Pelodiscus sinensis: one gene and its partners. The protein of the gene in region 2 interacts with the protein of the main gene of each other region in a pairwise test. Links are inferred from orthologs where the notes say so. Each region holds a gene or a part of one and is shown on either strand. Other genes may lie near its edges.

What was found.
Region 1: the proteins of AKAP7 (region 2) and CEP76 interact in a two-hybrid assay, tested with the Homo sapiens proteins (3 studies listed by BioGRID). The two-hybrid records come from large-scale screens. The link is inferred for Pelodiscus sinensis from reciprocal best matches to the Homo sapiens genes AKAP7 and CEP76.
Region 3: the proteins of AKAP7 (region 2) and SPA17 interact in a two-hybrid assay, tested with the Homo sapiens proteins (3 studies listed by BioGRID and IntAct). The two-hybrid records come from large-scale screens. The link is inferred for Pelodiscus sinensis from reciprocal best matches to the Homo sapiens genes AKAP7 and SPA17.

The regions. Positions count from the first base shown.
Region 1 is NC_134712.1:87,531,178-87,538,582, forward strand, and holds the start of CEP76 (centrosomal protein of 76 kDa), read right to left. Parts: upstream 3,013-7,405; 5' UTR 2,947-3,012; coding exon 2,884-2,946; intron 1-2,883. Other genes in the region: PSMG2 (proteasome assembly chaperone 2), read left to right, coding at 3,335-3,394, 4,614-4,785. UniProt on the Homo sapiens protein: Centrosomal protein involved in regulation of centriole duplication. Required to limit centriole duplication to once per cell cycle by preventing centriole reduplication.
Region 2 is NC_134713.1:93,356,317-93,364,046, reverse strand, and holds the start of AKAP7 (A-kinase anchoring protein 7), read right to left. Parts: upstream 3,021-7,730; 5' UTR 2,875-3,020; coding exon 2,637-2,874; intron 1-2,636. UniProt on the Homo sapiens protein: Probably targets cAMP-dependent protein kinase (PKA) to the cellular membrane or cytoskeletal structures.
Region 3 is NC_134736.1:12,369,861-12,377,293, forward strand, and holds the start of SPA17 (sperm surface protein Sp17), read right to left. Parts: upstream 3,090-7,433; 5' UTR 2,949-3,089; intron 2,024-2,948; 5' UTR 2,009-2,023; coding exon 1,855-2,008; intron 237-1,854; exon of another isoform or gene 184-236; coding exon of another isoform or gene 108-183; intron 19-107; coding exon 1-18. UniProt on the Homo sapiens protein: Sperm surface zona pellucida binding protein. Helps to bind spermatozoa to the zona pellucida with high affinity. Might function in binding zona pellucida and carbohydrates.

The DNA of each region.
Region 1 (7,405 bases), on a different chromosome or scaffold from region 2:
TTTAACCTGTTAACTAATTAAATGGGATTTTACATTCCTATTGTATACCAGTGATAATTAGAGATGAAAGCTTCTAGTTGCGTAGCTGACTACCTGATAAGCACAGGCTTATCAGGTAGTTGAGTGACTACTTAACTAGTCTCCCTCTGCTGTCTCTGTATCAGAGGCAGCAAGGGGGGGAAGCAGGAGCCAGTGCTGGGGGGAGTCGGCTTAAAAGCCAGTTCCCCTCAGCACCATCTACACAGTGCGGGGGTGGAAGCAGGGAAGGCTGAGCTGTAGTGGTCCCGGTGGCACCATGAGATGGGACTGTTCAGTCCCGGCTAGCACTGCCCCCGGGAGCCAACCCCACTGCAGGATCGCTCCGACCCCCTTATTGACTGATATTTAACATCCCTAGTGAGAATCTGGTCACATCATCCCATAAATTCATCCTTGCAAACAATATTGAACAATCACCTCCAAATATGCGAGACATGTCAAAACTTGGTGACTGAAACCGAACGCTTTGACAACACTTGTCTCTGCCTTCCACATGAACACACAAGAAACCAAATGCCACTGAAAGTGGACTTTTGAGATCTGCCTATACTACATGACTACAACCCATGGCATTAAACTCAACTGGATGCTGAACTATTGCCAACATCTTGATAATATCACAAAGAAGATAAAGAAGAAGGTTAACATCATCCAGAAGCTCATTAGCACATTGTGGAGATGTGATGAATGCATGCTTCGAACATCACTATATGCTCTTGTCTTGGCATCAGCAAAAATGTGCCAGTCTGGTGCAAAGCTTCAGTGGGTAGGCACTGAACTCAACATCATGCTCAGCCTTGTTGGTGATTCTCTGAAATCAACCCCAACCAATATGTGGGTCTCTCAATTTTGGTAGGCATAGTTCCAGCCACGGTCAGGTTATGCTAGATACTGCTTGTGGCCAGGAGTACAATTTCTTGGCCACTCTGGACTAATCCCCTGTAGGCAGGGTTTGAATCAATGCTTCCATTACAGCCAGCTGGAATGGGAAAGAAATCCTGGGTGTGGTTAGGTAAAAATAGTTCGCTCAGTTTGCTTAGACCTACTAGATATTCAACAGTTAGAATGGTGTTTTGCCCATTGTTGTGGAGCCACAAACTCTGTTGACCCTAAATGCAGGAATTGTAAGATATGACCACCAATGCTTGCAGTTATTGGGGGAATGCAGAAAAGTCATACTGTGTTTCACTCAGTTTAAAGGAGAGAGACTATCAGTGTAAAGAATAAGGCTTTCTCTGCCAAAACTCTGGAAAGTCAACTGGGAGGAGGGCAGAACTCTGAATCAGCAGGCTGCATGCACTCCAGGCGTGAGCTGTAAGACTGGTTCAACCTGTTTTGTCCCCCTCCTCCCCAAATCCGGTCTAATGTAAGAAGTAGAACAGAGTCCATAAAGTCAAGTATCAGAGGGGTAGCCGTGTTAGTCTGAATCTGCAAAAGCGACGAGGAGTCCTGTGGCACCTTATAGACTAACTGAAGTGTAGGAGCATAAGCTTTCGTGGGCAAAGACCCACTTCGTCAGATGCATGCATCTGACGAAGTGGGTCTTTGCCCACGAAAGCTTATGCTCCTACACTTCAGTTAGTCTATAAGGTGCCACAGGACTCCTCGTCGCTTTTGCAGAGTCCATAAAGAGTCTCTTTTTGATTTTAAAATGTATTCCAGCGGATGCTGGAATTTTTTGGCTAGACTGTGCTTTTGGCCAAGCGTTAAAATCACTGAGCAGCTGAAATCACAAAGGTTTGGCCCAAAGCCAAATCTACCACAAGGCTGTTGGAGGGAGCGGCCAGCAGGTAACTGGTGGAGCGGCTGGCAGGAGCAGGAAGTGAGCGGCATTGCCACATCCTCAAGGAGGGGAGACAACATGATGATGTACCTATAAGCTCTGGGTCTGCATTGACTGGACAGAGCCATGAGCAGGGTGTTTGAAGTGGGGGGAAAGCACACTATATGAGTTGGAGGGTAGATTAAAGATCTCGGGACCGTATCTTGCTTCTGGGTTTTGTTTGTGTGTGTTTCTGTGGATTAATGTTACATTGCTGTCATTAAATAGACTGTTTCTGTCTCCGACCCAGTGCTTGAGAGAGAAGAATTACCTTTAAAGGCACCCAGTGGGTAGGTTTACTGGCTTGAGCCAGTGTGGGTACATTGTTGAAAGAACTCCCTAGATACTGAACTGGCCCTTCTGACTGCCAAGTGCTACCTACAGAAGGGTTACACCACCTCAGTTCACTCCCTCTCTCCGCACTGAGAGCCAAGGTTTCCACAGGACTATCACACAGGCCAATGGAAAAGCTGCCAGCACTCATTGGCACAAGTCATGGATGGCTTGCGATGTCCCAATCAAAGACTCAAAGGTAGAGATAATGAAAAATCCAACCCTCTGTCTTCCCCACAGGCAGCAGCCAGCACTGCCTGGACAAGTGTGTGCGCTGTAAAGATTCAAAGGCCGGCCAGCTGGTTAGCAGAGCCCCCCTCAGCCAGCGGGATGTGTGGCGAGCGGTGGTGCGCAGCCGCACTTGCCTCGGGGCACATACAACTGATGGGGCGGGTGGGAGAAGTGGCGGGACCCTTGGCGGGTAACTCGCGCCGACAGGGAAAAGGCAGAGAACGCCCGAGCTGCGGGGATACGAGCCCCGGGACGCAGCTGCCCCCATTGTGCCTGCAGGCTGGGGGGGGGGAGGGGGGGGGCACTATAACGTCGGTCCGAGCGCCTCAGCCCCGCTGCTTCTCACACGAGCGGCGCGAGCAGACACCAGCCCGCCCCCCACAGTGAAGCCGGCACGAGCCCTCCGCGCGCAGGGTAAAGCCCCGGCCGAGCCGGCGCGCGCACTTCCTGCCCCTCACCCTGGCCAGCTGCTGGCGGATGATCTGCTTCAGCTCCGAAGCTTTCTCCGGAGGCAGCGCCATGGCGAACCCCCAACACCCAGAGCCGGTGCCCCCTCCCCCCAGCCCCGCCCACTGCGCTCCGCAACCGCGCGCTCCGCCCCAACCGCTTTTCGAACAAGCGTCCCGCCAGAGCGCGAGGGCGCCCTGCTCAGACGCCTGATTGGAAGCCCGGACCCTCCTCCAGCCCGGGGCCGAGAAACGGGCCGGCCGCCCCCCCTGTCAGGGGCTCCAGTTACGCATCAGAGGACGTCCTGCCGAGGAGCCCTACGGGGACAGGCGGTTACAGAGGACGCCTAACTCCCCCCTCACACATCAGCCCCCGCTTAGGCGTCAGGCAAATGCGCCGCAGAGCGGAAGGACCCTGGCGGAGGCGAGTCGCGCGCACCCAGCGCTGAACGCTCCCGGCGCGATGTTTGTGCCCTGCGGTGGCTCCGCGCCCGCCAGCTTTGAAGGCTTCACGCTCCTGCTGGTAACGCCGCGCGCGGCCCTGGGGGGGGAACCGTCGCCCCCGTCGGGGCCTGAGGGCGCAGCGGGGCGGGATGCGCGTCCCTGCGGAAGCGCTGGGTGGGTGAGCGGCGGGGGGCAGAGAACCAGCCCCCCCTCCCCCTCCCCGAGCTGGGAAATAGAAACGTGTCTCCGCTGCTGTTACTTGCCGGGGCTTTGTCGTAGCCTGGACCTGGGGGGGGGGGTCGCTTGTCTAACCCGCCCCCGCAAGAGGGGATGCGAGTAACGGCAAGCGCTGTGTGGATGTTGGGAAGCTGGTGGTAGAGGCAGCACATTCAAACTAGGGATGTGAACGACTAGTCGACTATCCGGTAAGCAAATCCAACTAGTTGCTCCCCCCACCCCCTTGCTACCTCTATCAGATAGAGGCAACAACAGGGGGAGAAGAGAGGGGTAGTTTGAAGCAGTGGAGCCGCATGGACCCTGTGGCACTGTCACTTTGAAAGGCTGTGGTGGTATCACAAAGCGGCAGCACCATACTGAGCCCAGCATCACTTGGGAAGTTGACCCTGGGCTCCACCAACTTTGAAATGTACAAGAGTCCCCAGCGGGAAGTGCCTGCTTGGAGCCCAGAGTCAGTGAAACTTCCCGCTGGCCCTGGGCTCCATGCGGTGGTCCAACTTTTTCAAAGGCGGAATGCTGAAGTGCCAAGTTGAGTAGTCAATGGAGAATTCATCGACTACTTGACTAGTAAATTAATTGCTAGTTGACATCCCTAGTTCAAATGCCCATCCTTGAGCGCACCCAGGTCAAAGACAGTGGTAGCTGAGTTTGGTGCAGTCTCCTTGATTAAGTTTTCAACTAATCTAACAAAAACTATTGTTTTCCCATTACACAACTAAATGTTCATAGTTTGCTATCTTAAGCCTAATCTTTATGGGTAGTAGAGGCTGTATGTTGATTTTTTTTTTCAATAGTGCACATCTTATTATTCAGTGCTGGTCTGTTAGTACAGGAACAATCTGTTAAAAAGCCAGTACCTTCCATAAAGGGAAGTTTTAGGTTTTCTGACCCCACTTTTAAAATATTGGGTAAGAGGATTGTGATTTGAGCATATACCTACAGATATTTTGTGGAGTTTTCATTTATTAATTTGAATATTATACATAGTTCATTATTCAAATCACAGTTGAATGTATAAAAACTGTAATAACAATATGGTCACAAGTCTTCTGTTGTTCCAGCCAGCTGTATCCGTTGGGAATGTTGGCCAGCTTGCAGTAGATCTACTTATTTCTACCTTTGACATGCCTAAAGTTGGTTACTTCTACACTGATTGCCTGGTGCCAATGGTTGGGAATAATCCATATGCAACAACAGAAGTAAACTCAACAGAGTTGAGTATAAATGCTGAAGGTGTGTTCCAAAGTTATGTCTCAAATATTGAAGTGTGCCCCAATCCTACAATGAGCTTTATACAGAGACCTCCCAGTAAGAATGGAGTCTATAGGGGATGGTGGAAGTAAACCCATCTGCATGGTGCCACCAATTTAATGGCCATGAAATACATCATTGACAGTGAAATCTGGTTTTGTGTGTGCTCCCCCCCCTCCCCCCCGATATTATATAGATTTCACAGGGGAGAACACATCTCACGTTGGGGCCCTGACTCAAAAGGGAATCGTCTGTCAGGGCTACAAGGTCATTTTAAGGATGCAGCAATCTTGCTGTTCTTAACATAACATAAGAACGGCCGTACTGGGTCAGACCAAAGGTCCATCTAGCCCAGTATCCTGTCTACCGACAGTGGCCAGCACCAGGTGCCCCAGAGAGGGTGGACCGAAGACAATGATCAAGCGATTTGTCTCCTGCCATCCCTCTCCAGCCTCTGACAAACTGAGGCCAAAGACACCATTTTATCCCCTGGCTAATAGCCTTTTATGGACCTAACCTCCATGAAATTATCTAGCTTCTCTTTAAACTCTATTATAGTCCTAGCCTTCACAGCCTCCTCTGGCAAGGAGTTCCACAGGTTGACTACACGCTGTGTGAAGAAGAACTTTCTTTTATTAGTTTTAAACTTGCTACCCTTTAATTTCATTTGGTGTCCTCTAGTTCTTCTATTATGGGAACTAATAAATAACTTTTCTTTATCAGCCGTCTCCACACCACTCATGATTTTATAGACCTCTATCATATCCCCCCTCAGTCTCCTCTTTTCTAAACTGAAAAGTCCCAGTCTCTTTAGCCTCTCCTCATATGGGACCTGTTCCAAACCCCTAATCATTTTAGTTGCCCTTTTTTGAACCCTTTCTAAGGCCAAAATATCTTTTTTGAGGTGAGGAGACCACATCTGTACACAGTATTCAAGATGTGGGCGTACCATAGTTTTATACAGGGGCAGTAAGATATTCTGGGTCTTATTTTCTATCCCTTTCCTAATAATTCCTAGCATCCTATTTGCCTTTTTGACCACCGCTGCACTCTGTGTGGAAGTTTTCAGGGAACTGTCCACGATAACTCTAAGATCTCTTTCCTGATTTGCCGTAGCCAAATTAGCCCCCATCATACTGTACGTACAGTTGGGGTTATTTTTCCCGATGTGCATTACTTTACACTTATCCACATTAAATTTCATTTGCCATTTTGTTACCCAATCACTCAGTTTGGTGAGATCTTCTTGGAGTCCCTCACAGTCTGCTTCTGTCTTGACTATCCTAAACAGTTTGGTATCATCTGCAAACTTTACTACCTCACTGCTTACCCCTTTCTCCAGATCATTTATGAATAATTTGAAAAGGATTGGTCCCAGGACTGACCCTTGGGGTACACCACTAGTTACCCCTCTCCAATCTGAAAATTTACCATTTATTCCTACCCTTTGTTTCCTGTCTTTTAACCAGTTCTCAATCCAAGAAAGGACCTTCCCTCTTATCCCATGGCCATATAATTTACCCAAGAGCCTTTGGTGAGGGATCTTGTCAAAGGCTTTCTGAAAATCCAAGTATACTATATCTACTGGATCCCCCTTGTCCGCATGTTTTGTTAACTCCTTCAAAGAACTCTAATAGATTAGTAAAATTAATCTTAGTTAAGATTAAGATTAGTAAGAACTCTAATAGATTTCTTACTTTTGTGCTGTCTTCAGAGCTGGGCAGCAGCTAGAGACCAATAGCTGTTGGCCAGGCATCCAGCTCTAAAGATAGCACCCTACCAGCCGCAGTGCAAAAGTAAGGGTGGCAATACCATATTTTACCACCCTTACTTCAGTGCTGCTGCCTTCAGAGCAGGTGGCCAGAGTGTGGTAGCTGCTGACTGAGGGCTCAACTTTTTAGGCAACAGCACAGAAATATGGGTGGCCATGCCATCCCTGCTTCTGCAGTGCTGCTGGTGGTGGCTCTGCCTTCAGATCTTGGATCCCAGCAGTCACAGTTCAGCCACAGGTAAGGGTAGCAGTACTGTCACTTCCCCTACAATAACCTTGCTGGGGCACTCCCCTCTCCCACACAACTCCTTTTTTGGATCACAACTCTAACAATTACAATACCATGAAATTTCAGATTTAAATAGCTAAAATTATGAAACTTATGATTTTAAAATGCCCATAGCAATGAAATTGAGCAAAATGGACTGTGAATTTGTTAGGACCCTACCCATGTGATGTACATGTAGGATTGGGGCTATAGTTGCCTTCTAAAACCACCTTGTGCTGAAACAGGAAACTGCATTGTTGAAATATAGCATATGCCTTTTTATTTAGCTAAATTGCTGTTCTAGTCTGAAACTTTCCAGACCAAAATTGCCACACTTCCATTGTTAATTCAAGAAAGCCACTTAAATGCAGGGTTGTAACAAGAATTATGACTTATCACTAGGGCTGCAGGTTTATCATAGGGGGCACCAGTGCTTATCTAAAACAAGACATTAATCTGTGATAATTCTAAGGAAGTTAGCCTTGACATACAGGACCAAAAACATCTAAGTCATCATCAGTGCAGTCTCCCTCATGAGAATCACCGCTGGGCATCTTATCTAA
Region 2 (7,730 bases):
GGTGGCAGCTAAGCAAGGATTTTGAGGATTTAAATGTTTTTGTAGATCTAGCCCATAGTGTTTAAATTTGCCCCCTTTCTGCAGAAAAGGATGAAGATATATGTTAATGTTTAAACTCTATGTATAGTTTTTACAATTAGATACAATTGTATCTATCTCTGGCAGGCCTGGGCAAAATACAGTCCGCGGGCTGGTTCCAGCCCACCAAGCCACTGGATCTGGCCTGTGGACACTGCAGGGAGCCCCAGGCAGGCTCCCGCATGCCTTCCCCACCTGCACGCCACTCAGGAAAGCAGCTACGGAGCCATTTCTCTTTAAAACTGTGAGCTTGGAGAGGAGGGGGGGAGGCTTCATGTGCTGCCCTCGCCCCACCACAATTCCATTAGCTGGTTTCTGGGAGCTGCCTGTTTGAATAACAGGCATCACAAGAAGCACATGGGCCACCTCTGCCCCTGGGCTCATAGTTATTCACACAAGCACATGTCCCTGAAGCCTGGGTGGGGGTAGGGCAGGCTCACTGCCTTCCTGAGAAATGTGCTGGGCTGCTGGCTGGGAGTCACTCAAGTAAGTCTCCGAGCCAGAGCCTGCCTCTGGCACCCAACCCTCCCTTCCCCAACCTTCTGCCCTCCACTCCTTCCCCCCCTATTCCACATAACTAAGCCCTCTGTCCTCCTCCGGCATCCATATATGCAAAAGCGCTCAGAGGTCAAAAATCTGCTGCCCCTTATTTGTCCACTCAGCCACTTCTCTGAATTAAAGTTACTTTAAATCATCTAATGAATAGCTGTACAGTCCAGTGCCCCAGATCATAACTGCCTCCCTCATCCAAACTCCCTCCCAGACCCCACTCTCCCTCCTGCACCCCAGTCTCTTCACTAAGCTCCCTTCTGCACTTAACCTCCATCTCAGACCCCACACCTCCTCCATTAATATCATGTAAGAGTGCGACCCTTGACCATTTTCCAAAATCTTGGAGTGGCCCCAATAAAAAATTATTGCCCACCTCTGGTCTATGGTTATTGTTTATGCATTATTAACATTACAGTCAAACTGTGAAAGCTATGAATATTTTCCCTTGGCCATAAGCTAGGCAAAGGGGCTGCACTGTTGTCCTGCAAAGAGTTTACAACACTATTTTTGTAGTGTAGATAACAAAAATGTGAAGGTGTAACCACTGGGGCTGGAGCAACTCCCCTGCCTGTAATTGGCAAGGGACTGGCTCCGGCTGCCGTAGACTAGGCTGCTCCCATAGGGACACCAGAGCATCCCTTGCCTGTGCAGTGCCCTGTCCTCTTGCAGGCAAGAGTTGCTCTGGCCTGACTGGAGCAGCCCTTGCCTGTGGCAGGAACAAAGAAGGCATTCCAGCCCCTCCCTGCTCACCCCCTCTTTAATTGGTTAACAGGTTAAACAATGTTTAATCTGTTAGCCAATTAAACAGTATTTTACATCCCTAATAGATAGGATATAGCTGTGTATAACTGGTAAAGATCATCTTCCATCCTCTCAGTTGCCTGCTGGAAAAAATATACCAATGTTTATTGTCCCACATTCATGCTGCCATTATGTGCAAATGTCATCTTTGCTAAAATACTACAGGTGGGGATTTTCTTACACTGATCTGACAGCCTGGTTGCCTGAGTTAGTAAATGTTGATGCATCTAAAAGATCATACAGCGTTAAAAGCTGGCATGTGGACACAACTCTGCCTGTTGTATTCAGTTAGATGAGTCGTGCATTCACTATAACAATAAGGCTATACTTATCTATGTAGCCTTAAGGCTTGTCTACACTTAGTGGGAGATTGATGCTACTTTGATCCTACAGGGTTGATCTAGCTGCTATACTGAAGACCCTCTAAATAGACTACTGGTCACTTTCTTGTGAACGCTTCTATAAGGGAAGTTGAAGGGACACTTTTTCTCCCCATCAACCTCCCACGGTGAACTTGACCTAAGTAGGTCTACTCCAGTTATGGTATTCACACGGATTGACTTAAATAAATTAGATCAACTTTGCTCCATACTGTACGCCTGCTCTTTAATTTCTTTCTATCCTCATAGACAGGAAGGGGAGATGATGTTGCTCTACATGTCGCTCTTTCTCCCTCCTGTTTTACAGGAAGTAAGATGGTGTTGTGTTTACTAGTAGAACTCATGTGGGCTCATTCATTACTCTGCCCTAGCTCTTCCGAATGACACCACCTCCCTTAAATCTCTTGTCAGTTCACCAACCGCAAAGAAAAGGCTAAAACTGTCTTTGGCTACTGTCTATTTACAATGTGAGCTCCCAAGAGCAGAGATTGTCACTACGGCACCGACCACGGGGGCGGTGACTCTATCACGAGGACAGCACGGACAAAAGGACTTGGCTGCGCATTGACGCCGCCCTTCCCTCCGAGCGACGTGGGAAAGGGGCTCTCGTGCGGCGCAAACACACAGGCCGGGTTAAGTGGGGCTGGTTCCCCAGGCGGGCCTGGCCCGGGAAGGGGGAGCCGGGAGCGCGGCTGGGCAGGCAGGCGGCCGCTTAACGCCAGCCTGGGCCTGGGCTCAGCAGAGCTGGCCGCGAAACACGGGCCGGGACTGGGGCGGGGCAGAGCCTGGCTGCGCACGGGACCCACCCCCCGGCCGCCTGCTCACCATGCTCCAGGGACTCGCCAGCTCCGGGGGGAAGGTCCCCGCCGGCTGCCCCCGGCCCCTGCGCCGCCTCCCCGCCCTGCGCCATGGAGCGGCCCGGGCCCAGCACCCCGGCGGCCGCCGCCGCTGCCCGCCGCTCCCCCCAGCCGGGTGGCGGCGCCCTTTGTCGCGGGGCGGGGTCGGCGGCCGCTCCCCACAGCCGGGCGGGATGGAGCCGGAGGCTCGACAGCAGCCTCCGCATGACCGGAGGACGGGGGCGAAATTCGTGCCCAGCTACGGGACGGGACAGGGGCCAAACTGGGCCACCGCGCCCCGTGGGGAGCGAAGGGGCGACACCCGCGGCAGAGAGGCTGGAATGAGGCGCCCGGGGACTACAACTCCCAGCGGGCCGTGCTGTTCACGCCGAGAATGCCGCCCCCGCGCCTTGCACGCCGGGATCGGAGCCCTGGTTTGGCGGCGTGCGTGTGTCCGTGGGAGGGGCCGAGCACCGCGTTGTGCCTCAATAGGAATGGGGAGGGGGCTGGGAGATCGAGCGGAAGGAACCAACCAGCAGGATCAAGCCGGGGGGGAGCTCCATGCGCTTAGCCTCAAGCCCCTCAGCACCAGGCACGTGGGCAGAGTCTGAGCATCGCCCGTGCCAAGGCTGCTGCTGGGGGAGGCTGATGCCCGGGACTGAGGCTCGTGCACAGGCCGCCCCCCCCCCCCAGCATTTTGAGCTAAGTGGCAGGGGCCCTGCCCGGAGGAGGGCGGAGATGTGCTCTGTGGCGGGGAGCCTGCCCTGCAGTCACCCGTCCTGTCCCGCGGGGCTGGTTCAAAGTCCTGCTCCAGCTAATGAGCCCGCCCCCGCTACGGGCGCTTGGCCTGGCCACGTCTGCATTAGTAAAGACACTGTTGGCTTGCGGGCTTCCAAGGAACGGGGCTTTTCCTCTAGTTTCTCTGTGTAGGCTGTGTCAGTAACAAACTCCTGGCCTCATGCAAATAAGAAATTTTCTCGGGGGGGGGGGGGGGGGTTAGCAGTGTTTGTATCTGCAAAAGTAGTGATGAGTCCTGTGGCACATTAAAGATTAACAGATTTAGTTGACTATTAGCTTTCATGGGTCAAAACCACTTATTCAGGTACATGGCATGGAAATTGCTCCCTCTCTCTGATTTCCACTCATGCATCTGACCAAGTGGTTTTGATCTACAAACGCTTATGCTCAAATAAATGTTCTTAAGGTGCCCCAAGACTCCTTGATGTTTATGAACATTTTTGTTTGTACATTGGGCAGTTTGGAGTTTCCGCTAAACAAAATGTATTTGGAGCATAAATGTACTACCTGGAGGATCAAATGGACATTTAATGGGTTTCATAATAGTTGTAGAGGCATGCATTACATATGTAGGAGAAGTAAAACTGAATTTAACAGCTACCCTTGAATTATGTTTGGAGTTCAAACAAACCCAGGCACAAAAATACAAGGAAAGGAGCTGAGCTAAGGTATCTGGAAACAAAAAGTACATTAGGTGGAGTTAATTACAGTTCATATAACACTCCCTCAGAAGAGATGGGACCTGGTTAAGGTGGTAGGCATCCTTCTGAAGAATATGAAACAATTACTAAGATAACCAGCAGGGTTTTATAAATGCTTCTAGCCTTCAGCTCCAAGTTAAGGTATATCTACACTGAAAAATAAATTGTTGAGGCAGCATGTCTCAGAGGCCAGTTCCACTGACAGGGACTTCCTGGGGTTCTGCAAGAAGGCTAAAAATTGTAATGTTGAGGTTCCCACTTGGGCTGATGCTGAGTTTCAGAGCTTGGGCTCCAGCTCCAATAGGAACAGTTACACTGTTATTTTTAGCCTTGTAGTTCTAGCCTTGTAATTCCCAGTCAGTTGACCCAGGCTCTGAAATAAGGATTTAACTAGCAGTTAATTGACTAGTCAAGTAGTCAATAGAATTTCCATCAACTACTTGACTAGTGATAGGCACTTCCACATTCCTCCTTTGAAATGTACAAAAGCCCCTGTTGGGGCTCTTGTACATTTCAAAGGAGGAATACGGAACTCCATGTGCAGTCTGGGGGCCAGCGGGAAGTCCCACTGACTCCAGGTTGCACAGGGTGCCAGCTTTGAAATGCACAAGAGTCCCCCGCCAACTCCGGGCTCCATGCTGTGCTGCCGCTTTGAAATGCCATGTGGAACCGGGGTCATCTGGACTCCCCAACTGATCACAGGCTCCAGCATAGCATTTTCGCAGAACCTGGGGTCAGCTTGGGATTCCACAGCTGATCCCGGGTTCTGTGGAAATGTCATGCTGGAGCCTGGGATCAGCTGGGACTCTGGGCTCCTCATGCGCAGCGCCACACATCTGAGCCAGGGATCAGCTGTGTGGCAGCTGCCTCTTTGTACACTGTCTCCACATTTCAAAGCGGCAGCGCTGCACAGCTGATCCTGGGCTCTGCTGTGTGGAGCTGCCACTTTCAAGTACCCCTCTTTTTCTCCCCCTTTGCTGCCTCTCTCAGATAGAGGCGGTGAGGGGGAATAGATTAGTTGACTAGTCGACTACTCTTTAACATGCCTACTCTGAAATTTGATGTTGAGGGAGGTGTGTGTTATGTTTTATTTTTGTAATATAGATATACTCTTTATGGAACTTTCATTACCATTTTAAGTGTAGGCTGAAGCAAACCTTTTGTTATCATTTTGTTAGAATTTGTTGGGTGACCCCAAGCTGGGAACAGTAACAAGCACTTCAGAGAACAGGATTAGAATTCATGACATTTACAAATTGGTCTGAATTCATTCAGATGAAATTCAGTAAAGACAAGGGCAAACTACTTCAATTTGGAAGGAAAAATTCAAATGCACAACCACAAAATGGGGAATACATTACTGTTAGGTGGCAATATTGCTGAAAATCTGCTAGAAGTTACAGTGGGTCACAAATTGAGTTTTCATGAATATGAAGCAGTTGAAAATAATGTTGATATTATTCTGGGATAAATTAACAGAAGACCGAGGAGGTAATTGTCCCACTCTGCCAAGCACTGTTGAGGCCTCAGTGTGAGTACTCTGTCCAATTTTGTGCACCACAATTTAGGAAGGTTGTGTACAAATGAGAGAGAATCCAGAAGAAAGCAACCAAAGTGACAAAATTTTTAGAAAACCTGACCTATGAGACAAGGTTAAAAAACTCAGGATGATTAGTCTTGAGAAAAGAGGACTGAAAAGAAGCCTGAAAGTCTTCAAATATGTTAAGAGCTGTTACAAAGAGGGCCATGATCCATTGTTCTTGCTGCCCACTGAAGGTGGGATAAATAGATTTAATCTGCAGCAAAGGAGATTTATGTTACCGTATATTCCGGCGTACAAGACGACCTCTGATGTTAAAAAACATCCCCCCAAAATCGGGGGTCGTCTTGTACGCCGGATGCCCCGCCGCCGGAGCCCCTCCGCGGCTTTGAAAGCCTCGGGGGAAGCCGGCGGGGGGGCATCCCAGGCGCGCATGGGCTGCCCCCCCGCCGGAGCCCCTCCGCGGCTTTGAAAGCCTCGGGGGAAGCCGGCGGCGGGGCATCCCAGGCGCGCATGGGCTGCCCCCCCCGCCGGAGCCCCTCCGCGGCTTTGAAAGCCTCGGGGGAAGCCGGCGGCGGGGCATCCCAGGCGCGCATGGGCTGCCCCCCCGCCGGCTTCCCCCGAGGCTTTCAAAGCCGCGGAGGGGCTCCGGCGGGGGGGCAGCCCATGTGCGCCTGGGATGCCCCACCGCCGGCTTCCCCCGAGGCTTTCAAAGCCGCGGAGGGGCTCCGGCGGGGGGGCAGCCCATGCGCGCCTGGGATGCCCCGCCGCCGGCTTCCCCCGAGGCTTTCAAAGCCGCGGAGGGGCTCCGGCGGGGGCGCAGCCCATGCGCGCCTGGGATGCCCCCCCGCCGGCTTCCCCCGAGGCTTTCAAAGCCGTGGAGGGGCTCCGGCGGGGGGGGGGGGGGGGCAGCCCAGGCGCTCCTGGCGGCTTTGCTCCCGGTGCCTCTGGTCTGCTGGGGACCATCTCCAGCAGACCAGGGACACCGGGAGCAAAGGAGGCGGAGGGGCGCTGGGGTATAAGATGAAACCCTATCTTTTAATTAAAAAGATAGGGGGTCGTCTTATACACCCAGTCGCCCTATACGCCGGAAAATACGGTAGGTATTAGGGGAAAAATGTTAAGGCTATGAGTTTGTCATCGAGATGGTGGAAGTCACAGAGTCTGTGACTTACTCAGGTGGTGGAAGTCATGGAGTCAGTGACTTACAGAGATTTCTGTTATTGAATCTGTAGCACCTGAGACCATTGTGAGCATCAGGGCCCTGTGAGTTCCCAGCCGCTGTGAGAGGCAGGAGCCCTTTAGTACCCAGCTCCTCACAGCTCTGAGTTTCTGTGGGCAAAGGAGGCCCTGGGAGCTCAGCTCTTGGCCGCTGGTGGCCACTGAACCATGGGCGGGGGGGCTTCTGTGAAAGGTCATGGACAATAAAGAAACAGTCTGTGACTTTTACTAAAAATGAGTAGTAAAATCTTAGCCTTAACTATGAGGGTACTTAAGCTTTTGAAATAGGTTTCCAAAGGAGGTTATGGAATCCCCATCAGTTGAGGATTTTAAAAAGAGTTTGTACAAACACTTGTCAAGCAGAGTTCCCTCCGATATTTCCCATCCATGCGCAGAATAAATTTTATGTGCATCAAGACATATGCAAATGTGCACCACCAATAGAAACAAAAAACCTAGCTGGAGGCTCTCTGCCACTCAGCTGGGCAGTATTTGAATTTCTCCTAAGTGGCCACAGAAGCACACAGCTTACAGGGAACACTTGTCTGGGATAGTCTGAGTTTACTTAGCTTCCGAGGGGTAGCTGAGCTAGTCTTTAATTGGAAAAACTTAAAAAACAACAAATAGTCTAGGAGCACCTTAAAGACTAACAAAACATGTAGTTGGTATCATGGTAGGCAAAACCTACTTCTTCAGATTAGTCCTACATTTGCAGAGGGACTAGACGAGATGACTTCTCAAGGTTCTTTCCTGTGGCCGCGGGGCCCTGCACGGCCAGACTCGTCCCGCCCCGGGCGGACCCAGGCTGTGCGCCACTGGTGGT
Region 3 (7,433 bases), on a different chromosome or scaffold from region 2:
CTGGGTCCGATCTGGATTCTGAAAATAAAAACCGACATTCTTGTTTGATCACATAAATGTCAAGAGAGTAATTAAGACAGGAAGCTCCCCAGTCAAATTACACTCACTGTGGGTGGCAGCAGGATGACAGGGAACATAAGAAGAACATAAGAACGGCCATTCTGGGTCAGACCAAAGGTCCATCTAGCCCAGTATCCTGAAGCAAAACTGACAGACTCAGAACAGAGGCAGCGTGGCTGTGAGAAAAAGAAAGGCTGTTTTCTGCACAGCCCCCAGGCGAGAGTCAAGGCCCTGCCAGCTAAGGAATGCCTTGCAGTGGTGGTTCTAGGAACAGTCCCAGAGGAGCAAACACACCCAGGAGCATCTAACATCTCGGGACAGAGCCACAATTAAAGCACACGGGAACAGCGTCCTCTCTCATTTTTCCCACCCCTGAGCGGAATCAATGTTGTTCTCTGACCAGCGAGATAACATGTCACTTGCTAATTGGGCACATAACAAAGTTCATATGGTGGGGGGGCCAAGGGGTTCTGAGTATGGAGTGGGACTCAGGCCTGGGGCTGGGGGGGTGCGGGCTCTGGGGTGCGGCTAAGGATGAGCAGCTTAAGGCTAGGACAGGGGGTTGCGAGGGAGAAAGGACTCCATCTGGTGGTACAGGCTATGGGGGTGAGTACTTTGGGGTGAAGGAGGGTGCTCCAGGGACTCTACTGCAAGGAGCGCTGACTCCCTCAGCTCTCTCGCCTCACAGCAGCATCGTGGACAGCACCGCTCCTCACCTTGGCAGCTCCAGGGCTGGGCCTCCCAGGCTGCAGCAAGGATGGGATGGACGGGCTCCAGATCAGGGCCAGGCTGCCCAGGCTGTGTCGGGATCAGGGCCGAGACTGGACTGCCCTGGCTGTGTCGGGATCAGGGCCGAGACTGGACTGCCCTGGCTGTGTCGGGATCAGGGCCGAGACTGGACTGCCCTGGCTGTGTCAGAGTCGGGCTGGGCCAGGTGGCCCTGGCTATGGCAAGTTGGAGTACAGACCAGGTGATGGTTGGAGTGATGGATCAGCCCTCCCCTGGCCACTGCAGGTTCCTGCCCTGCCCAACCTGCTGAAGCACCTGGCAGGTGAAATAGGTAGCTGCACAGCAAGGGAGCTCAGCGCAGGAGACCCCCTGGGCTGGCCAGGCTGTGCGCAGAGGCCCGTGCCTGCCGGCACAGCATGCACCAGCTTGAACAATTCACTGGGGCCTGTGGTGACCATGCTGCCTCCCATGGGGAAATGGAGATGACCCAAGAAAATGGCCCCACTGCAGATCCTAGAGGGACTCACGTGTCCAGAAACCGCTTGCCCTGGAGCAGTAAGCCAGTTACCCTCAGGCCCAGTGGCTGACCCTCACCCCAGGTTAGTGGGGTTCTCCTACAGCCCTGAGGGGTGGCCCCCATCACCCACAGGAGCCATTCAAAGCATAGGGTGGAAGTCAAAGTGAGAGGAGTAGCCTGGAGCCTGCCAGAACCAACCAGCCCCAGGAACCTCCTCCTGCCTGCCCCTTCCCTCTGGGACAGAGCATCAGCTGGCAGGCCAGGGGGGACCCACAAGGAGCTTTCGTGGGCAAAGGCGATAAAGGAAATGGGGCACAGGGAGACCAGAGCCCCGGGGGACCCCAGGAAGCAGCCACGGGCATTTGTGCAGTAACCCTGGGCTCAGTGAGAGCCCTTCCAGGGGGACAAGCCACCCCAGACCTGAGCGCGGATCCAGGGCTCGCTGCACCGCCCGTGGCAGAGCTGGGCAGGTGGGGATGCTGGAGGCGGGCGCCTGGGTCACCCAGCGGGAGCAGAGCTCAGGGCTCCCGGCTCCGCCCGCCACTCACTGTCCCGCTTGTCCAGCAGCTTCTCGAAGTGCTGGGCGGCGAAGGCGGGGATGTCCGCAGGCTGCTCCCGCAGCACCTCCCGGGCCAGCCCCTCCAGCAGGTTGGCGAAGCCGCACGGGATGCGCTGCTGGGTGTTGGAGAAGGGGATGGACATGGCGCGGCCCGGCACCTGCGGGGGGAGCGGGGGGCAGGGCTGTGAGACCGGCCGGGCCCGCGGGCAGCGATCGCCCCCCACCCCCCCGCGGGCAGCGATCACCCCCCCGCCCCCCCTCCGCAAGCAGCGATCGCCCCCCCCCCCCCCCCGCGGGCAGCGATCACCCCCCCGCCCCCCCTCCGCAGGCAGCGATCGCCCCCCACCCCCCCCCCCCGCGGGCAGCGATCACCCCCCCGCCCCCCCTCCGCAAGCAGCGATCGCCCCCCCCCCCCCCCCCCCGCGGGCAGCGATCACCCCCCCGCCCCTCCGCCCCGCGGGCAGCGATCACCCCCCCGCCCCCCTCCGCAGGCAGCGATCGCCCCCCACCCCCCCCCGTGGGCAGCGAACACCCCCCCGCCCCCCCCCCCGCGGGCAGCGATCACCCCCCCCGCCCCTCCGCCCTGCGGGCAGCGATCACCCCCCCGCCCCCCTCCGCAGGCAGCGATCACCCCCCCGCCCCCCTCCGCAGGCAGCGATCGCCCCCCACCCCCCCCCGTGGGCAGCGAACACCCCCCCGCCCCCCCCCGCGGGCAGCGATCACCCCCCCCCGCCCCCCCCCGCAGGCAGCGATCACCCCCCCGCCCCCCCCCCGCAGGCAGCGATCACCCCCCCGCCCCTCCGCCCTGCGGGCAGCGATCACCCCCCCGCCCCCCCCCGCGGGCAGCGAACACCCCCCCGCCCCCCCCCGCAGGCAGCGATCACACCCCCGCACCCCCCCCGCAGGCAGCGATCGCCCCCCCACCCCCCCCCGCGGGCAGCGATCACCCCCCCCCGACCCCCCCCGCGGGCAGCGATCGCCCCCCCGCCCCCCCCGCGGGCAGCGATCACCCCCCCGCCCCCCTCCGCGGGCAGCGAACACCCCCCCCGCCCCCCCCCGCGGGCAGCGATCGCCCCCCCCTACCCCTCAGCCGCTGCTCTCCGCAGTTTCTCGGACGCTTCCGTTGCCTGGCAACAAGACCCCGCCCCCCACCAGCTGGGGCTGGTGGCTGGGGAGGGACAAACGCGAAGCCAAACCTTGGCCCCGCCCATCTCCCGCTAGGCCCCGCCCCTGCCCAGGCCATTGGCACAGAAGAGCCTGGCCCTGAGGGCCCGCCTCCAGCCCCGCCCCCAAACCAGGGACCCTCTTCCTCCCCTGCCCACCCCTCTGCGTAGCACCTGTGAGCACCCGTCGATTGCACGGGACACCCAGCTCCTTGGCACAAAGACGGGACCCGGAGCCAGACCCAGCAAACCGCCTGCGTGCCGGCCGACCCGTTCGGACCTGGCCCTGAGCCAGGGGCCCCCTTGTTTTATGCCACTCCACTGTTTACTTCCAAATGTTGGGTTGTACCAGCTCAAATGCTTTATAGGCCTCTCAGGGCATTTCATCAAAGCTAGTACCCTTATCAAATTCCTTTGACCCATCTATTTTCCTTAAACCCATTTTGATTTGCATTTATGACTTACCTTTTAGTTTCCTAATGGGTCCTATCATCCACTCCATTAGCTTGACTGAGATCAATATCAAGCTGACTGGTCTATATTTAGTCAGCCTGTTTACCCCTTTTTAAAAAATTGGCACAACATTAACTTTCTCCCAGTCTTCTGGAACTTTCCCAGTGCTCCAAGACTTGTTTAAAATAATAATTAATGGTCTATTGAGTGCCTCAGCCAGCTCTTTTAAAACTTTTGGTTGTGGGTTATCTGCTCCTGCTGATTTTAAAATGTTTAATTTTGGTAGATTCTGTTTTACATATTGGTGAAATGGAACAAGTTATCATCACCATAGGATGAGATTATATCAGAAAGGAAATATTTACTGAACACTTCTGTCTTTCCTGCACTGATATTGATAATTCTACCATTTCCATCTAATAATGAACCAATACCATTATCAGATTTTTTTTGTCCTAATATGTATGAAAAATGCCTTCCTTTTGTCTTTAATTCTTCTGGTCATAGATGTCTCCTTATGTCCATTTGCTTCCCTTATCAATTGTCTACAGTTCCTAATTTCTGATTTATATTAATGATCAACATCAACTTAGAGGGGAGGGATAACTCAGTGGTTTGTGCATTGGCCTGCTAAACCCAGCCTTATGAGCTCAATCCTTGAGGGGGCCACTTAGGGATCTGGGGCAAATCTGTCAGGGATGGTACTTGGCCCTGCCATGAGGGCAGGGGACTGGATTCAGTGACCTCTCAAGGTCCCTTCCAGCTCTATGAGATAGGTGTATCTTCAGATACTAGCCAATTAGCCTGTCATAAGATGGGATTTTCAGGTCTCTCCTCCATGTTGGTCTTCTCTCCTGAGCCTCTGGTCTCTCGCTCTGTGTATCTTTCTCTCTCTCTCCGCCTCCTCCTACTGCCTCCCCCCCCCTCTCAGCTCTCCTCTGCCTTCTGTCTCTCTCTTTCTCTTCTCCGCCTCCTGCCTTTCACTCTCTCTCCGCTCCTCTGTCTCTGTCGGGGATGCACGCTTGTCCAGGCCCCATGGGTGTGTACGTCACCGCCCAGTCCCCCTTTGCCAGCCACCGTGGTGCTCAGCTGACTTCTGCGCCGCTCAGGCGCGCCGCCCCGTGGGAGCAAGCAGTGCAAGCGGCCGTTTGGGCCCCGCACTCTCCATGAAGCACCCCCGTGTTGCATGGGGAGCGCGGACCCCAAATGACCGCTTGCTCCTGCACGGCGGCCCAGCTGAGCAGCGCAAAAGTCAGCTGAGCGCCACAGTGGGAGGCAGCAGTGCCGCCCAGAGGGAACAGCCAGCATTTCAGCACTAGAGTCACAGACATTGGGCTACTATATATATATGATTATTTAAAGTGTGACACTTTCTTCCATTTATACATAAAAGTTTTTATAGATGTCTTCACTTCCCCTCTAAACCAGTTTAGTTTTTTAATGGGCCATAGCTTTTGTTCTCATTCGTGGGATTGCAGCTTCTTGGGCACTTGGTAAAATGTACTTGAATTATTCCACATTATTCCACATATTTTTCTAATTATTCTTCCTCCTAGTGTCAGCTCATAGTTGTTTTCAGCTGTGTAAAACTGGCCCCGTTAAAACACCATAACATGAAATGTCCCATTTCATTTACTACTAAGCCCATTTAAATCAATAATAAGTTGGCGTGGCTGGCTTGATGCCATTCGGGGACTGAGCTTGCTGCTATCAAGTCAGGCTGCTTTGGTTCATATTTCAGAGCATTCAGACAGACCCGGAAAGTTTCCTTATGCCTATGGCCCGTGGAGGCAGAACAGCACTCCAGAGGAGAGCCAGAGAATTGGTTACTGTGGGATAGCTACCCGGCCCTTCGCTTGAACCCGGCAGTCCCATGGGCTACGTCTAGACTGGCATGATTTTTCAGAAATGCTTTTAACAGAAAAGTTTTCCGTTAAAAGCATTTTCGGAACAGAGTGTCTAGATTGGCACGGACACTTTTCCGCAAAAGCAGTTTTTGCGGAAAAGCGTCCATGCCAATCTAGACGTGCTTTTCCGGAAAAAAGCCCCAAGGCTACAATAGTGGAAACACAATACTGCCCTGCTTACTTCCGGGCTGCTGCTGGTGACAGTGCTACCTTCTGAGCTGGGAGTCCAGCCAGCAGCCGCTGCTCTCCTCTTTGGCTGCCCAGCTCTGAATGCAATGCCACAGTCAGACGTGCAACTCTGCGAGCCCCTACAATAGCCAGATTTCACAAGGGGCTCATGGCTCTTTCCAGCCAATAAACACTTCACCTTGTCACGTTAGGCGGAGACTCCCAAAGGCACCTGCGGGCTTTGGATACATTACAGTTCAGGGGAATTGGATATTCCAGGTGCTACCAAGCAGAGAATATTTTTGTCTCTGCATGGGCAGATTTGACTGTAAATGCCCAGGGCCCCCAGTGCCGGCCTAAGCTCTGGAGCAGACCCGTGTTAACATCACGGACGAGGCGTTCCGCGTTATTTACACCGCTTCTGGTTCTTTTGAGCTAAGCCAAGTTATAGGGCCATTCAGAGCCCCTCTGCCAGGAGGGCTTCTTGGCTGCAGGTTTGATTAAGGGCTGGGCCAGCCTGTCTGTGTAAGGACTGAGGCCAGCGCCGGCAGGAAATACAGTCTGTGCCCTTGTCCAGGGCGACTCCCATTACTGACACCACCAGCACTGGGCCAGAGTTGGAGCTGATGATGCTTTTGCACCCGCTGGGCTCTGTGCTGCCTGCTGGGCCCTTGGGGACACCATCTCCCTGACTTGGTGCGAGGGAGTGTAGGGATTTGCATAGCAGTGCGGGGGAGGCCCCAGCCGTGACGCAGCCACTAGATGCATCCACAAGAGGACAGCCCGTCCCAAGGGGCAGAGAAGCAGACCTGGGGGGAAGAAAGTACTTACAGAGGGAGGCCTGGAGCACGGAGCTTCTCCACTGCTCAGCACCCAGCATGGGCAGCTCCAGTGCAGAGATGGGAGTTGAGCTGCCGGGGGCCTCCACAGTCCCTCAGGCCGTCTGTGCCAGGCACTGGATCCAGAGCTCCCGTGTCCCACCGGACCCTCCTCAGCCAGGAGCCGGTGGCTTTAAGAACTGCCCCCAAGGCTAGCTACAAGTAGCATGTCTCCCGCCCCGTGCTGTCTCCTCCCTGCCTAGCACTGGCCCCAGCCTCTGGGCAGAAATGCCGCTTTACTCTCTTGCTTCAACATACGTGAGTGCCAAGGGAGGGCGGCAGAACTGCTGCCTGCTCATGCAGTGAACGCCAGCCCCCACTCTGCCTCCAGCGCGCCTGCTGGAACCCCCTGGCTCCAAGGGATTGAGTAGCCTGCTCTTAGAGCTATCGCCCGGCCCCAGGAACCCCTCTTCCCCAGTCCAGGCTCGGAGACCAGCCCTCTCCCTGGGGGACTGGCCACCTCTGGTGTTTACCCGGCCCCTCTGACCCAACTGAGTGTCCCAGGGCTGCTGGGGTTCTCCTCCCACCCCCTTCATGGCAGGGCCATGCTGGCAGGGCCAGTATGAGTTGGCAGAGCAAGGTGCAAATCACCAGCACGCACACTCACCCAGCCCGGCTCCCCTCACTGGCGCCGGGACCAGACGCACCCGTAAAGAATGAGCCAGACACAGTGCTCACTTGGAAATGAACCATTTTCCTTCCGCCCTCGTGCCCGGGGCCGCTGCTCCTCTCCGTGCCTGTGGGGCCAGTCGCCCTGAGCTCAGTTCTGCCCAGCAGATCAGGAGCGAGTGCTGGGGCTGCTCAGGGAGTAATTGCTACAGAATGAGAACCGGGCCCCACGGCGGTGCTGTGTCAGCTGGAGGCAAGGGACCAGCCGGGGGATGACTGGACCGGCTCAGATCAAGCCGTGGAGACGCGCCAGGAGTGCAGAGCCGATCCTACCGCAGTGGGGGGCTGGGTGAGCTGCCTGGAGTTGCCCTGGGAATTTATTCTTGGCTC